Cricetulus griseus: one gene and its partners. The protein of the gene in region 1 purifies or fractionates together with the protein of each later gene. This does not show direct contact. Links are inferred from orthologs where the notes say so. Each region holds a gene or a part of one and is shown in the gene's direction. Other genes may lie near its edges.

Region 1 (6,692 bases):
GGGAACCCTCGCCTCATCTTAAAATCTTCCACTCAAGTACCAGGACCTAAGAAAATTTTTTTCCTAAACTTAACCTTGGCCTCTGCTTTGCCAACACCTTGCCAGGTCTAAAAGGTGCCAGAGTTCCATACAGCCTGGACTTTGATGGAGCAACCAGCCACCCCAGGAAACCTAGGACATGGCAGCACCCCAGCTTTCTCAGGTCCCCCAAAGATGGTCAATGACCCCCAGGTTAGCAGGAAGCAGTCTTGAGAACTCGACGCCCTTATTCCCTAACCTGCCTGTCTAACACCCACCTTTTAAATAATAAATAAAGGTGGGAATGAAAAGTTCAGGCATTAATGCTGACCTGCTCTACCTCTTTCAGAGACAGACCCGCCCAGTGACAATGGGTGGGGTGCGCACAGTAACTTGCCACATCACTCATTATGCAGTTTGGAGCTGCATAACTGCGTAGGAACTCTTCATGCGCAAGCTTCCCCTTTTAAAGCCTGTGCCCACCTCTCTCTCTCTCTCCCTCTCTCTCTCTCTCTACTTCTCTTTCCGGTGGTCAACCATTATTTTTTCTCTCTTACTCTCTGCCTTGCTCTATTCTTCCATTTCCTCTCTCCCCCTCTCCCACCCTGTAATAAACTTTGTTTAATGTGCTCTTTATGGTTCATGTTCCATCTCCATATTGACACTTCTAATTTAAGCAAAATAACAACAGAAGGTTCCAGTAAGCTCCAAGACGGAGCTGAGTGTCAGAGAACAGGGTTGCCATGAGAACAAGGATCACAAGCAGGACTTCCTACAGAGGAAGGATTTCAGTATCATAAAGGCCCAGGAGAAGGAAGGTTCCAGTATGTATTGTAGTGGCCCAGAGGGTGTAAGGAAACTGTGGGACTTAGCAGGTAGCTGCTAGGGGGAGATGAGAAGGAGCAGGGTGATAATATATAGGCCCAAGAGGGTGTAAGAAGCAATACAGTGGTTAGCTCTGACAGGAGGAAATAAGGCAGGGGCCACAGGAACTCTACTCAAGGGAGGCCTAGGAGAAAGTAGAGAAGCAGCCTTGGAACTACTGCTCACAGAGGGAGGCAAGGAAGCTCCAGGAAGGGAACAGAGCCAGATAAGACGATCTGAGAAGAGCATGGGTGTTGAGTGAGCTGGGGGCCAGCAGATAGCCATTTGTCCCTTCAAGTGATGAGGAAATGGCTTCTTTGCAGAGGGAAACAGGTGCCAGAATTTGGGGGAGTGGAGTTTCTTTTGTAGGTGTGCTGTGGATAGCCATGAACATCTTGGGCTGCTGTTCACTAGAATCTTAAGAACTAAACTAAGCCTGGTGTTGGTGGCCCATACCTTTAATCCCAGCACTCGGGAGGCAGAGGCAGGCGGATCTCTGTGAGTTCGAAGCCAGCCTGGTCTCCAGAGCGAGTGCCAGGATAGGCTCCAAAGCTACACAGAGAAACCCTGTCTCAAAAAAAAAAAAAAAAAAAAAACCAGAAAAGAACTAAACTAATCGGTAGTGGCGCACGCATTTAATCCCAGCACTCCCGGGCAGAGGTAGGTGATCTCTGTGAGTTCGAGGCCAGCCTGGTCTACAGAGAATCAGGACAGGCTCCAAAGCTACACAGAGAAACCCTGTCTCGAAAAAGCAAAGGTTAAAAAAAAAAAAAAAAAAGAACCAGTGTTCTGGAGTCAGCTGCAGGGTAGAATGTATCTTCATCACCAAACAGGCAGTGATCTTGGCCAAGTTACTTGCCTCCCTCATTCATTCCACAGATGTGACTCCTGGCTGCCAGGGCCGTGCGGATTAATGGGTGGGGAGTAGTCTGTCTGATGCTAAAATGTCAGTGCGTTTGTTTCAAAAGGCGGACTCCAAAGTGTTTAGTACTCAAACTATCAATAACGGCGAGTTCTTCTTTTGAGGTTTGCTGTCTAAAGGCAACTTTTGACTAGAACCGGTCCTAATTCTCTGAGATCACCGACACACCCATTCTCAGAAGAGCAGTGGCATTTCCAGGGACACACAAGCCCCTCGCCCAAACTCCTCTGCAGAGCTATCGTAATCCCACCAGGTGAGGATGAGACTACCACCTCCACTGCTGCGACAGTGAGAGGCCTCAGAGTGAGTCCTCAGAGCCAACCTCGCCACCACGGCAGGTCGGGAGGCGGACAATGCGATGGGCGCAGAGAGCCAGCCCCGAAGAGGCCCATGTGACTCAGGCTCCCGCCGCGCCTCAGAGCCGGCGCAGAGCGATGCCCGCCCAGATAACAATGGCGCTGGTGCGGGCGGGCGGGCGGGCGGGTCGAGGAAGGCCGAGCAAGGGTGTGATGTGAATAGGTCCGGCCGGCACTGCGGGCGAGGACTCATGACGCAAGCCCGCCCTCCATCCCTGGCACCCCGCCCCTCCATCCCTGGCGCCCCGCCCCTCCATCCCTGGCGCCCCGCCCCGCCTTGCAGCCAGAGCCGCAAGATGTCTGCTGGGATAAAGCGGGCGTTAGCGAGGGCCGACCGGGCGTCTTCAGCCCACAAGCCCAGCGAGCGCGGAGGCCGGAGCGCGCCGGGCGAGGTCACGTGGCGCCGGCGCCGGCCTCGCCCCTTAGGCGGCCTTGGCAGGGCCTCCAGGAAGGGGCGGCAGCGGAAGTGACCGCACGGGGTGTTTGGCTGCGTGCGGCTACGTGGCGGAGCCGGCGGAAGTAGTTTCTCCGCTGGACCCTGAGTGTTTGTGTTTTGGTTCGTGAAGGAGCCTGGCGGCCTGAGGGGGAGGAGACGGAGGAGGAGGAAAAGGCGGAGGAAGGAGTCGTCGGAACTCGAGTGCGGCCACTGCGGAGCCGGAGGGAGGCAGGCGGAGCAGAGAGGCAGCCCGGCAGGGGCGGCACGGCGCTCGGAGCCCCGCCGGCCAGGGTGAGAAGCCCCGAGCAGGCGACGCCGCTGCGGCTGCGGCTCCGGCGCATCCCATCTCCGGGCGGTGCGTGGCCTCGCTGCCGGGAGCCGCGCCCCAGGTAAGCCGCCCTCGGCCCCAGCCTGGGCCCGGCTCTCCGGGCGTCTGCAGGGCCTCGGCTCCACACACGCCTCCGGCCAGCCGCTCGAGCCCGGGATGCCGGGACGCTCGCAGGGAGCGGCGGGTGTCACCCTCTTCCCAAGATGGCGCCGTGGGCCGCGGCGGTGTCCGGCCTGGTCCCGGGGTCTCAGTCCTGGCCGGGCCGCCGCCGCGGGGAGGGAGTGGCTTAGAAGCACGGCCACAGGGCCCGGCGGGGTTGCTGGCTCCGGCACCCCGAGTTGGTTCTCGGGTGCTCCGGGAATCCGGGCCTACAGCAGGTGGGGTTCGGGAGCTCCGCCTACCTCTGACTGGCTTGGCCGAGCTGTGGGAATGGTGGGATCCTCTGGTCTTCCGTGGGACGCGGTGAACCGAGGCCTGCGAGCGGGTTAACATCCAGACACTTCCAGAAGTTTAAAGCTCGGACTGTCACACTTGGCATGTTTAGTTTGTGCCTTGCTGAAGTGTATTCAAAGTGCTGAATCAGTTGCCTTTCAGGTAACTAATTAAACAACAGCAAAAAACCCCATGGTGTGTCTCTGGGAATACTGAGGACTGGCCAGATCATTCCTGATGTAAATTTGGACCCATAGGGTTGTGAGCAAAGGATGCACAATTTAAGGGCTCGTAACTTTTTGAATCAAAGATAAGAGCTGTATAACATAAGTACCATTTTCAAAATTTAAGATGCACATTATGCAAAAGTTTTGTTTGTCAGAATAAGTACAAGCAGTGAGTACAAAGGATCGCATGTAGCGCGTGTGCGTGTGTCTGTTTTGCCAGGGGTTGAACACAGTCTCAGCCTCTGTGTGCAGAGCAAGAGCTCTGCTGGCTACTCCCAGTCCGTGCACTTCATTTTTAACATTAATGTCGTGGTCAATGTGTGTATGTTTATAATTTGGCTTATTTCCTGTTTGAGGTCTTTGGAAGTAAAGATTCAGTAGCTTTGAACTTTAAAAGGCGCTGAATATGGAAGCACCCATCTGTCATCCCAGCACTCTGGAAGCTGAGGTAGGAAGATGCGGAGTTCCAGGCTATCCCTAACTTACCCCTGTTCTTGCCTAGGCTACAAGTTCCTCTTTCAAAAAGATGGGGTGGGAAGGGTAAAGAACACTTAAAAAGCAAAACTAAGTGTGAATTTTTGTTCAGTTTTTCTGTGAGAATCCGATGTTTCCCTGAAATTTTAGAAGTACTGTGGACATTCAGAGCAAGTTTTGTCCTGGAAAGCCATCTGTTGTTTTGTAGGTAAGGAACTATTGGGAAACGTTTAAGCTGAAAGTGTATCTGAAGGTGTGTTGATGCCTTTTCAGTCTGCATGACAGTCTATTATTTACAACATTATCTCACCAAAAGGCCATTTAAATTGCCAATTTCAAGCACTGTGTACTTAGTAGGCACTGTATTAGTGACTACATATGTTGTCTTAATTTTCACAGTAGCAATGCAATCTTAGAATTTTATGGATATTGAGATGTGGAAATTAAAACTTTGCTCCAACAGAAATTGGCATAGCCAGGACTGGACTTCAAAATCTGTTTTTGTGGATTGAGGAGAAATGGGAGTTTTATTTATTTATTTTCAGACAAGCTGTCACTGTGTAGCTCTGCGTGGCTTGAAACATGCTTTGTAGACCAGGCTGGCCTGGAACTCCCAGAGATTCATTCGCCTTCCTCTGGACCCAGGTGCTAGCATTAAAATCTTAAACTTCCAAGTCTTTTTTTTTTTTTTTTTTTTTTTTTTTTTCCGTGGGGGCAGGGTTTGAGACAAGGTTTCTCTGTGTGACTTGGCTGTCTAGGAACTGGCTCTGTAGACCAGATTGGCCTTGAACTTAGAGATCTACCTGCCTCTGCCTCCCTAGTGCTGGAATTAAAGGCATGCACCAACCAGCAACCGTGTCTGTTCTTTTGAGACAGGGCCTTGCTATGTCTTTGTCTTTCTCACTGACATGTTTTTGTTTCAGCTTCCCAAGTGCTAGGTTGGAATAGTAGTTTTGTGTTCTCTTGGTTAGAAGCAGCTCAGATATCATTTTATCTGTAAATGTGTCTGTAGTTTTGGAAAAGATAAGTAATCTTCAAAGTTATTAACTTGATCACACCAAGATGTGGTATCTTAAAGACTAAGCAGGGTTTGGTGGGGCATGTCTTTAACTCCAGAGGTAGAGACAGAGATTGATCGATCTCTTTGAGTTCTATGACAGCCATGGTTACATATAGAGAGACCTTGTCTTAAAACAATAAAAATAACACAAAGATCTTATGGATATATTTATCAATGAATTCGTCATTGTCAAGAAAGTTCAATGTATCGACTCAAATTTTATGGGGAATATAGTGCAGTTTTTTTGGCAGGGGAGATGAAATCCTTAGTATGCTTTGTTGTTAATAAGCTTATAAGCCACATTTATTTTAGTTTATGTGTGGGGTGGATGTGTGTGAGTTCCTGTGTGAAGGTGTATGCATTCCATAGCATTTGTGTGGATATCAAACAGACAACCTCAGATCTTGGTCCTCATCTTTTCATTATATATGGTTCCCAGGATCCAAACCTAGACTTACACTGCAAGTACAGTACTCAGTGATTTTTCTTCTTTTTGAAACAAGGACTCTAGGTAAGCTCAGGCTAGTCCCAGGAATACTTCATAGACCTCCTTCTTCTAGGTGCCTGGGATTACAGGGTTACCCCATCCAGGTTCTATATATTGATAAAAGGTTGGACTAAGCTACTTAAAGTTGATTTGTGAATAAACTGAAAAGGGTGTTTCAAAGGGTGCCAGTTCTACCAAGATTAAAAACAAACTGGATGTCTTGGTGCAGATCTTAAGAACAAGAAGTATGAAGATCACCATTTTATGCTTCTTTGTGACACCCTATCTGAAGAGGAGAGGAGATTGTCTCTCAGGCTAGCTTTTTCCAAATGCAATGCTAACAGCATACATTGTTAGCCCAAAAGCTACCCCTCCAAAATTACTGAAAGTAAATAGGTCACTCCTAATCCTACCAGATAGAGAAATCCTTATCAGCCAGGCACACAAACTTGGGAAATTACTATTAAATGAAAAATTTGCCAGGTGTTGGTGGCCCACGGCTTTAGTTGCAGCACTCGGGAGGCAGAGGCAGGCGGGTCTCTGTGAGTCGAGGCCAGCCTGGTCTACAGAACGATTTCCAGGACAGCCTTCTCCAAAGCAATGCAGAGAAACCCTGTCTCAAAAGAACCAAAAAAAGAGTATCATTTAATTGAGGCCTTCAGATAGTAAACTGTAGGATTTGTTCTAAAAACTTTCCATTTACAAGCATAACTTTCTTCAAAAATATTAACCCAAGTAGAACCTGATTTTCTTTTTTATTAACTTTTATAAAGTTATTTACTTCAAAAGTAAAACAGTACATAAAACACAGAACAAGAGAATGACTATTTAATGGTACTAGGAAAGCAAGCAGAATGTTAATAAACTCTGGGCATTTTTATGCCACCTAGTTCTTCAAACAGGATATGTCTTATTTCAGGCATTCTCTCTTTCTACTCAAGATTCTAAAATAAGGTAGACAATATTACAACAATTTAACAAATGAGTAACTGAGGCCCCTTGCAAGAGTCAACCAAATTGCCTGAGATAAGAGTGAATTCATAGCTAAGGGTTGATAGGACATAGAACCTGATTTTCTTTTCTTCATT
Region 2 (4,106 bases), on another chromosome or scaffold:
TATGATGCCTACCAGGGAACTGGTCTAACTTGTAGTCCTTCTGGCCCAACCACAAGGCTCTGGTGGTCATGTTCTGTCTGTATACCGCTGAGAAAGATTTCTATTGGCCATCCCATGCTCACCCCTACTCCCTATCTATATACCTAGTTCCTCACTAACCCATTCTCCATTCTCATCTCTGTGGCTGGGAGAATTTTTAAATAGGAGGATCAGATTTGCAGCCATATGATGTGTGTATTAAGATATATGTATATTATCCTTATTTTACAATTGTAGGAAGAATACAAGAGACACCAGAAGTTTAAGGAGAACGCATTATTACACATCATCAGTGGGGTATGTGGGGCAGTGACAGGGAGATCCCAGGAGCTTGGGGACAGCTAGTTGAGGTGGCAATCTCCGGGTTTAGTAAAATACCCTCCTTCCCTCTCCCTCTGCCTCTCTCCCTCTCTCTCTCACTTCCCAAGTGCTGGAATTAAAGGCTCCCCTTGCCCTGCCACAGAGAGTTCAATTACACAGGGCTTCACTAACCACAACCTCCAAGGAACATAAATGTTTTGGGTTTTTTTTGTTGTTGTTGTTGTTGGTTTTGGTTTTTGTTTGTTTGATTGGTTTTGTTGGTCTAGCACTGCATCCCTGGAGCCTAGGACTGTGGCAGCCCAGTCCTTATGCTAAAGAAGAGGTGACTGAAAACAAACACTCTGTCTTATGCTGCAGAGGAACCCGGCTACTGTAACTGCCTCTTCCTTACTCCCCCTACCTCTGGAGCATGGCTGCCTGCCCAGCTTTGACTGTGGCTCTTTGTCCCTTCCTTCCTCCCAACCCAAACCATATTTGGTCTCTGCTCAGGGTCCTGGAAGCACTGTGCGTGCAGGTGTTCCCCACCCCGTCTCTTTCCACACTGTGATCCGGACGATGATTCCTTCCCATGTCCACAGTGCTGACTCGTCTCTACTGGTGCTCCTATCACTGCTTTCACAATGAGCAGAAAAATCTCTTCAGGTATCAGAGCACAGCCCTCAACCAGCTGCCTGCTTCCCACTACCTCAGAGAGAAGGCCAAATATAACTCATGACAACTGCTTTTGCCATGAAGAGGCGTGTCATCAATTGGGTTGTTCTTATCTGTGAGGGCACCTGGTTTAGCTTCTCTCTGCCAGAAGCTAAGTCTGTTTGGCTTCCTCACCCCCATGTTCATGTCACACATGTCTGAAATGCCCTTCCTGCCTTCTCTTTCCAAAACACAGGCCCCACCTTCTTGAGTGCAGATGTTTTCCAGAGGACTCACTTCCTCTCGAGCCTGCCTGACTCAGCTCTGCCAGTTTCAAGATCGCTAATTATTAAATAGTCTTTCATGCTTACCTCAACCTTCACCCACCTCCTCCTCTCCTCCCTTAGTGACTATGATGTAACGCTGTCTGGCATCGGTGTTCCTGGTATCTGGTTGAATGTCTGAGTACCTATAAGATCCGGAAGTAGCCAAACAACAAAAAAAATGGATGATGAGGTAAGACTAGACCAGAATCATATCTGAGTCTTATCTAGCTACTTACTACATGGGTGACCCTCAGCAAGCTAATCTTTTTGGACCTCTGATTCATGCATGTTTGTCAGGAGAGCTAAAAATCATAACTATATTATTATTTACTGAGCAATTATTCAGTATAGTCATTATTCAAAGAACTTCTTTGTGTAGCCCTTACTGTCCTGGAACTTGCTCTGTAGACCGGGCTGGCTTCAAACTCACAGGGATACTCCTGCCTCTGCCTCCCTAGTACTGAGATTAAAGGCATATGCACTTTATTTAATCTTCACATCAACTCGAACATATAAATAAAATGTTTCTTCTGTTACTGAGTTTTTTTGAGACTATGTGGCAAAAACTAACCTGGAACTCCTTTACTAATCCAGGTTGGCCTCAACCTTGACATTTTTTTCTCTCCTCCCAAGTACCAGGGTTACAGGTGTTCTCCAAGACATCCAGCTTTTTTATTTTCTCATTTTGAAAGAGCATCTTACTGCATAGCACAGGCTGGCTTCAAACGCAGGATCCTCCTGCCCCAACCTCCCAAGGGCTTGGATTAGAGGTGTGACCCATCATGTTAGGAAGAGTCATGTTTTAAATCACTCTGCTTCTACCTCCGTGTGTGTGTGTGTGTGTGTGTGTGTGTGTGTGTGTGTGTGTGTGTGTGTGTGTTCATATGCCTCACATATATACAGAGCTCCCATCACAATCATAGCACCAGGAGCAAAGATAACCAGTAACTTACGTATGTTTTCCCCACTGGGACTGATGTATACAAGTCCAGGAAAAATCATCTTTTTTCCTCTAAAATAAGTGACAGGACCTAGAAAAAGACTGGGGACATAGTGAGTACTTTAAGTACATTTCCAGGGCACAAAAGGTGAATTGATAGGGGAGGGGACATGGTTGGGATGAAAACCATTTCAACAACCTTAGTGGGACCTGGAATGGGGAGGACATTAACAGAAAAGCAGAGAGAGAGAACAGTGCCATTCTGGACAACAATGAGAAGAAAGCTAGCATTCGGGAGAGATGGACATGACAGTATCTTTTAGCGTTTGTAGTTTGAAATACCTCTAGAACATACTCAGTTTCTTTTTTTCATTTTCTTGTTGTTGTTTGTTTGTTTGTTTTTGGTTTTTTGTTTTTTGGGTTTTTTTGTTTTGTTTTGTTTTGTTTTGTTTTGTTTTTTTTGAAACAGGGTTTCTCTGTATAGATTTGGAGGCTCTCCTGGAACCAGCTCCTGGAACCAGGCTGGTCTCGAACTCACAGAGATCTGCCTGCCTCTGCCTCCTGAGTGCTGGACTAAAGGCGTGCACCACCGCCCGGCCTCGTTTCTTAAAAATCAGAAATCTCACGATTACTTAAACTGGCCTTAAACTCTATAGAGTTTAAGTGGTTCTCAACCTGTGGGTCACCAACCCTTTGGGGGTCGCATAGCAGCTGTTCTGCAGATCAGATATTTCTATTATGACTCATAACAGTAGTAAATTACAGTTATGAAGTGGCAATGAAATCACTTTATGTCTGGGGATCACCACATGGGGAACTGTATCAAAGCGTTAGGAAGGTTGAGAACTTCCTGCATCAACCTCCTGAGAAGCTGATATTACAAGCACCACCACGGCCCCTGGCTTTTTCCAATGGGCTTCTGAATGTGTCAACGCATACGTATACTGATATGTAATTATTATTATCATTATCATTATGCATGTGGACGGACATCTGGGCTAGAGACTTGGGTACCATCACCTTCCCGATAGCAACCATGACTGTGGATGAAATTAAGAGAGCAGGCAGGAACCTGAGAGTTTTTGACAGCCGAAATTCGCTGGTGTCAGGTTGTTGGGGAAACTTCTTCAACTAGGTTGCAGTTTGAGTTGGTAACGGGAAGCCTTTCCATGTCATTCACACATTCGCCAGCCACCTTTGCTCACACACTCCTAGGCGCTAACAAGAACTGGATGACACACACGCAGCTCCCTCCCCGAGCCTGCAGGGGGCGCCGCGCCTCCCCTCACACGGCGCGAAGCCTCTCTAGCCAGGCTGGAACTCGGTGGCAGCGCCGGGCTGCACGTCCCGACACCTCTTCCCAGAGAAGGTGGGTTCGCCCGCGGGGGAGAGGGTGCTGGGATCAGCGGGACGGGCGGGCACTGCTCTCTCCGGGTGCCTCGGCTCGGGCCCGGCCTACCGAAGCTCCGGTTGTGGTGAGTGCCTCCGCCTGATCTCGCAGTTCCAGCCGCGGGACCTCTTCACTCAGGCCCGCGGGCAGCTTCCGGGAAACACCTGGGGGGCGGGGCTGTGTGGGCGGGGTTCCGTGATTGACATCTTTCTTCGCAGACTGAACGAACTACCTCAGGACCCCTCCTCTGGACCCTTCCTCTGTCCCCGACGCTGAGCCGACACCATGGTGAGTCCAGCCCCCTGCCCCTGCATGCCCACGCCCTCACCCCGCGTGGCTTTCTGTGGGGCTTCTGCAAGTCTGCCCCTGCAAGACAACCTGCATTTTTATCCCCCTACCCATCCCCGTAGCATGGGCGCCTGAAGGTGAAGACGTCTGAAGAGCAGGCAGAAGCCAAAAG
Region 3 (3,949 bases), on another chromosome or scaffold:
TAAGCACCTGAGACACTAGACAGTATAAAGGATTGTCACACTACTGCATCTTGCATTTGAATTATTTTGAATTCTTGGAAAATAATTAGACGAATAATTCCCAAGATTAGAAAGTACTTTCCTTAATTCAATGCAACCCTCCCCTCTCTTTTTGCTTTAGTATTTTCAGAAAGGCAAGCATTTTAAATAAGGTAGAGTGGTAGAGTGGGAGGTGACAGACCTTGAAAATACTCATGAGAGCTATGTTAACTGTTTGGCATAGACAACCTTTAGCTCACTTATCAATTATGACCACTTCTATATAAGTCTATTTTACTTTAATCATTTCTCCAGCATCTTCGTAGGAGAAAGTTGTTTGGTCTCCTCTTATTTTGGTTGGAAATCAGATTGTGAAACAAAAGATTTATTAAGCATCTACTATTTTTTATTATTCTTTCACAGTCTTTTCTCTGCCTCCTTTTGAAACTTACATTGCTAGGCAGCTGTTTGAACTGATTAGAGAATACAGAAGGAATCCCATTTTGTGGAAACTAGGCAAAGGGATTTTTATTTGGTTGGTTCCCCCTGCCCCCCCACCCCCACTGGAAATACACAGAATATAGTTGGACAGTATTATAATGAAGTGAAAATCGATGTCTCTTGTTCCAAAAATAAAAATACAGACATGCTAGGGGTAAGAGTTTTCCTGGCATGAATGAAAATCTCCTTTGTTCAAAATGAATTGAATTTGAATTTCACTCCTCCTTGAATGTCTCTGACCAAATTTTTGTTCGGTAATTGTCAAGGGGTGTACTCCTCATGCTCGACGAGTCGAATACTTACATTTCTTTTCCGTATCAAACCTCCATGACAAATAAGCTAGTTCACTGAAGACTGTAAAATGAATAGAACTTTTACCACTCTCGTTAACATTTCAAATACTTTATCTTTGCCACTTTCCTGGACCCTTCACCCTAGAACTACAACACCCAGAATGCACTGTTTTTCCTTCCGCCTTCTACAGAGAGTCGGCCTGAGGAATTCACAGCCACAAACAAAGGTCACATGACACGTTTCCTGTCAAGATGGCGGATAATCTCCCTTCGGAGTTTGATGTGATCGTAATAGGGACGGGTATGTGTGGCCGTGGTTTTTCCTAGACAAAATTTAGGAAATAATTCTCGCCTTTTAGTTTCTCTTTCAGTGGCGATGGTTGGCGAGAAACGGCGGGGGTCGAGCCTGGGAGGGAGGAGGCAAAGGAAGTGAGGTAGCCTGGAGTCAGCGCGGGACTTGGCAGCTCCAGGGAGGGGCTTGGAACCTCGGTGTTTTGCGCCATTTGAGTAGGGGTCGATCTGGTCGATGCCGATTGCTGAGGTTGGTTGCTGCGGTGATTCCTGTTAATTTCCTAGAGGAGGGTGGGTTTGCAGTGTCATGAGAATGGAGGGTCGGTATTTGATCAATGGAGACGCCATTGGCATACTATAATTGCCTCTTTCCCTCGTTGATTTCAAGGTTATATTCCCCATCGTTTTCTGTCGCCATCTCATAGGGCTTTTTCCATATACTTACATGATTCTAGGATACGTTGCAGCTCAGATGTAGCTTAATTTGCAGTTAATAAGAATGATGCTCAGTCTCCCCCCCCCCCCCCCCCATGTATTTCTATTACGGGAAAGGAAGTGGACTCCTTTTTTATGTGTTGAGTACCCTAAGAGCCTTTTCCCCACTGAGGTAGCCATTATTCTTGCATTCTGGTATTTAAGGCATCCTTGTTTATGATGCAGAAAGGAAGCATATTGCTTTCTTTCACCCATCTATACACCACAACTAGATGTGCCCAGAATAAGCCCCAATGTTCATTCCAGATCCTGTGCCTGACCTTAGCTTCTCCTTGTTTTTCCATCATTAGTTCTCCATGTTTTGGGTGGAGTCAGAAATCCTCTTCCGCTTCTAGTTGATTAGTTAATCCTACAACACTTGTCAGCAATTAACATTTCTTTTCTTAATTATAAGGGATGTAGTTTGCATAAGATAAAAGAGATAGTGGGTGGGTTTTTCTGCTGTCTGTAGAATGTGGTAGGCAGCACAAGCTTTGGTGAATGGGACTCTGTCCATTGTATTAATTTAATTTGCTCTGTTCCCATAGAGTAAGAATAGCCATATTTCCAGGTTTAGAGTAAAAACAATAGCAACTCGTTTTCAAATGTTTGTCATTTCCTAATCAATAGACTAAGCAATTCACAAAATTCCAACAACAAACTTGCTCGAATGGATATTCTCTTCAATACACAGAAGAGGAGAAGCAGCCTGGAAGTCTAACTTGCCAAAGTCACACTGCTGGTAAATATCCAAAGACCAGCAGTATTCAAGAAATGGAATCACTTTTTATTTACTCTCAAAATTGTACAATGTTAGCAGAAATAAGTGGGAAAACTTATTCTAGATCATGCTAATTCAATTTCCACAATTTTGAATATAAGGAGCTTAGATCAAATAGCCTTTAAAGGTGTTATCCAAACACAAATTCTCATATTGTAGATATACCGGAGTAATTAATTGTTCTTAGAAGAGTGGAGGTGTGTTTATTCCCAGTCTGAAGATTACTACCACAATAGCTAACCTGGTTGTAACTGCAATGAACAGATGTTGGATGACACAGTAGACTATTCACTTCTCCCAGTCTGCTCTAAAACAACACCATCCATTTTTAGAGTAAGGTGTTTTTTTTTTCCCCGTTTTGTTTTTTAAATTTTACTTGAATTCTACTTGATTTGGGTGATATGGTAACTTTTATTAAATGTATTAATTCTTTTAGACACATTCAAAAGTGGAAACATTTGGTGAAAGTCATTTTTCAAATAAAATGATTCTGACACTTTCAATCATTTCTTGTAATTGAACTGATTTTTAAAGCATTTTGCTTTCTTTCTGAAATACTTCATTGAAGTAGACTTCAAATGTGTTGGCATTGTTACATTAATTCGTAGATAACTTACAGGAAAAGCAGTGTTTCATAACTTCAGTTCTGTTGACAAAAGCAAAATGAAGTATATCATTATCAGAAACAAGTAAAGAACTAGGCTGTGAGTTATAGTTCCCCTTAAGCATGTTTCTAGTTAAAATATCACCAAGAGACAATTGCTTCATCAAGTAGAATCATCCAAGAATATTGTAAATGTCTACCTACCTTAAATAGTTTTTTATTTTTTCATTTTTGCATGACCTGGTATAAAGGTTTCCTTTAAAGTCATATTTTCAAGATAAGGGAAAATAATATCAGAATACCCAAAGAAAGAAAGTTAAGATACAGCACTTGAACTATGGAGGAATAGATTAAAGAGGTAAAACCAATTGGAATCTCAATAGGGAGGAAAGATGGTCATAAACAAATGATTAGAATGTGGTCTTTGGCTTGGGTACACTATTGTCATTTCAGAATAGTTTGGCATTTAAAAATAATTTTATCAATAATTTTGTGGGTTGTGGAAAAGTTACCATTGGGTGCAGGTTAAAAATTATCCTAGCAACAAATTGTATGATCTCCAGCAAGGCCAAAAAGTCACAAGGGAGGAAGAAATATTAGGTATAAAGGATATATGATAACATTGACATATGCCATATATAGGAGCATAATTCAGCTCCTAACTTGGAATATATTCTTATTTTAGATAGAATTCTAGCTTGCTTAAAATGCACTATAACCAACTCATTTTGAAGGACAGACTCTTATCACCCGTGAAGAATATGTTTGGCTGGTGCTATTAGATGCACAGCTGACTGAAAACTCAGAGCTCTATAAGGAAGGGAATGTACATGAAGTGGCATAATGCCTTGACATGTATTAGTGTAAACACATACACACACACACACACACACACACACACACACACACACACACACAATCTTTTTTTGTGGTATTTAGTTACTATAGAGAAACTGCTCTCCTGTGCTTGTAATACTTACTGTATTG

What was found.
Region 2: the proteins of Rab5a (region 1) and Rabggta purify together in Homo sapiens (affinity purification with mass spectrometry; 3 studies listed by BioGRID and IntAct, counting the BioPlex papers as one, with this or other methods). This does not show direct contact. The link is inferred for Cricetulus griseus from reciprocal best matches to the Homo sapiens genes RAB5A and RABGGTA.
Region 3: the proteins of Rab5a (region 1) and Chm purify together in Homo sapiens (affinity purification with mass spectrometry; 3 studies listed by BioGRID and IntAct, counting the BioPlex papers as one, with this or other methods). This does not show direct contact. The link is inferred for Cricetulus griseus from reciprocal best matches to the Homo sapiens genes RAB5A and CHM.

The regions. Positions count from the first base shown.
Region 1 is NW_023276806.1:249,794,867-249,801,558, reverse strand, and holds the start of Rab5a (ras-related protein Rab-5A), read left to right. Parts: upstream 1-2,847; 5' UTR 2,848-2,985; intron 2,986-3,939; 5' UTR 3,940-4,031; intron 4,032-4,169; exon of another isoform or gene 4,170-4,265; intron 4,266-6,692. UniProt on the Homo sapiens protein: The small GTPases Rab are key regulators of intracellular membrane trafficking, from the formation of transport vesicles to their fusion with membranes.
Region 2 is NW_023276807.1:210,918,589-210,922,694, reverse strand, and holds the start of Rabggta (geranylgeranyl transferase type-2 subunit alpha), read left to right. Parts: upstream 1-1,306; 5' UTR 1,307-1,506; intron 1,507-3,471; 5' UTR 3,472-3,625; exon of another isoform or gene 3,626-3,731; intron 3,732-3,864; 5' UTR 3,865-3,931; coding exon 3,932-3,934; intron 3,935-4,056; coding exon 4,057-4,106. UniProt on the Homo sapiens protein: Catalyzes the transfer of a geranylgeranyl moiety from geranylgeranyl diphosphate to both cysteines of Rab proteins with the C-terminal sequence -XXCC, -XCXC and -CCXX, such as RAB1A, RAB3A, RAB5A and RAB7A.
Region 3 is NC_048604.1:58,850,219-58,854,167, forward strand, and holds the start of Chm (rab proteins geranylgeranyltransferase component A 1), read left to right. Parts: upstream 1-1,149; 5' UTR 1,150-1,338; coding exon 1,339-1,353; intron 1,354-2,207; coding exon 2,208-2,319; intron 2,320-3,949. UniProt on the Homo sapiens protein: Substrate-binding subunit of the Rab geranylgeranyltransferase (GGTase) complex.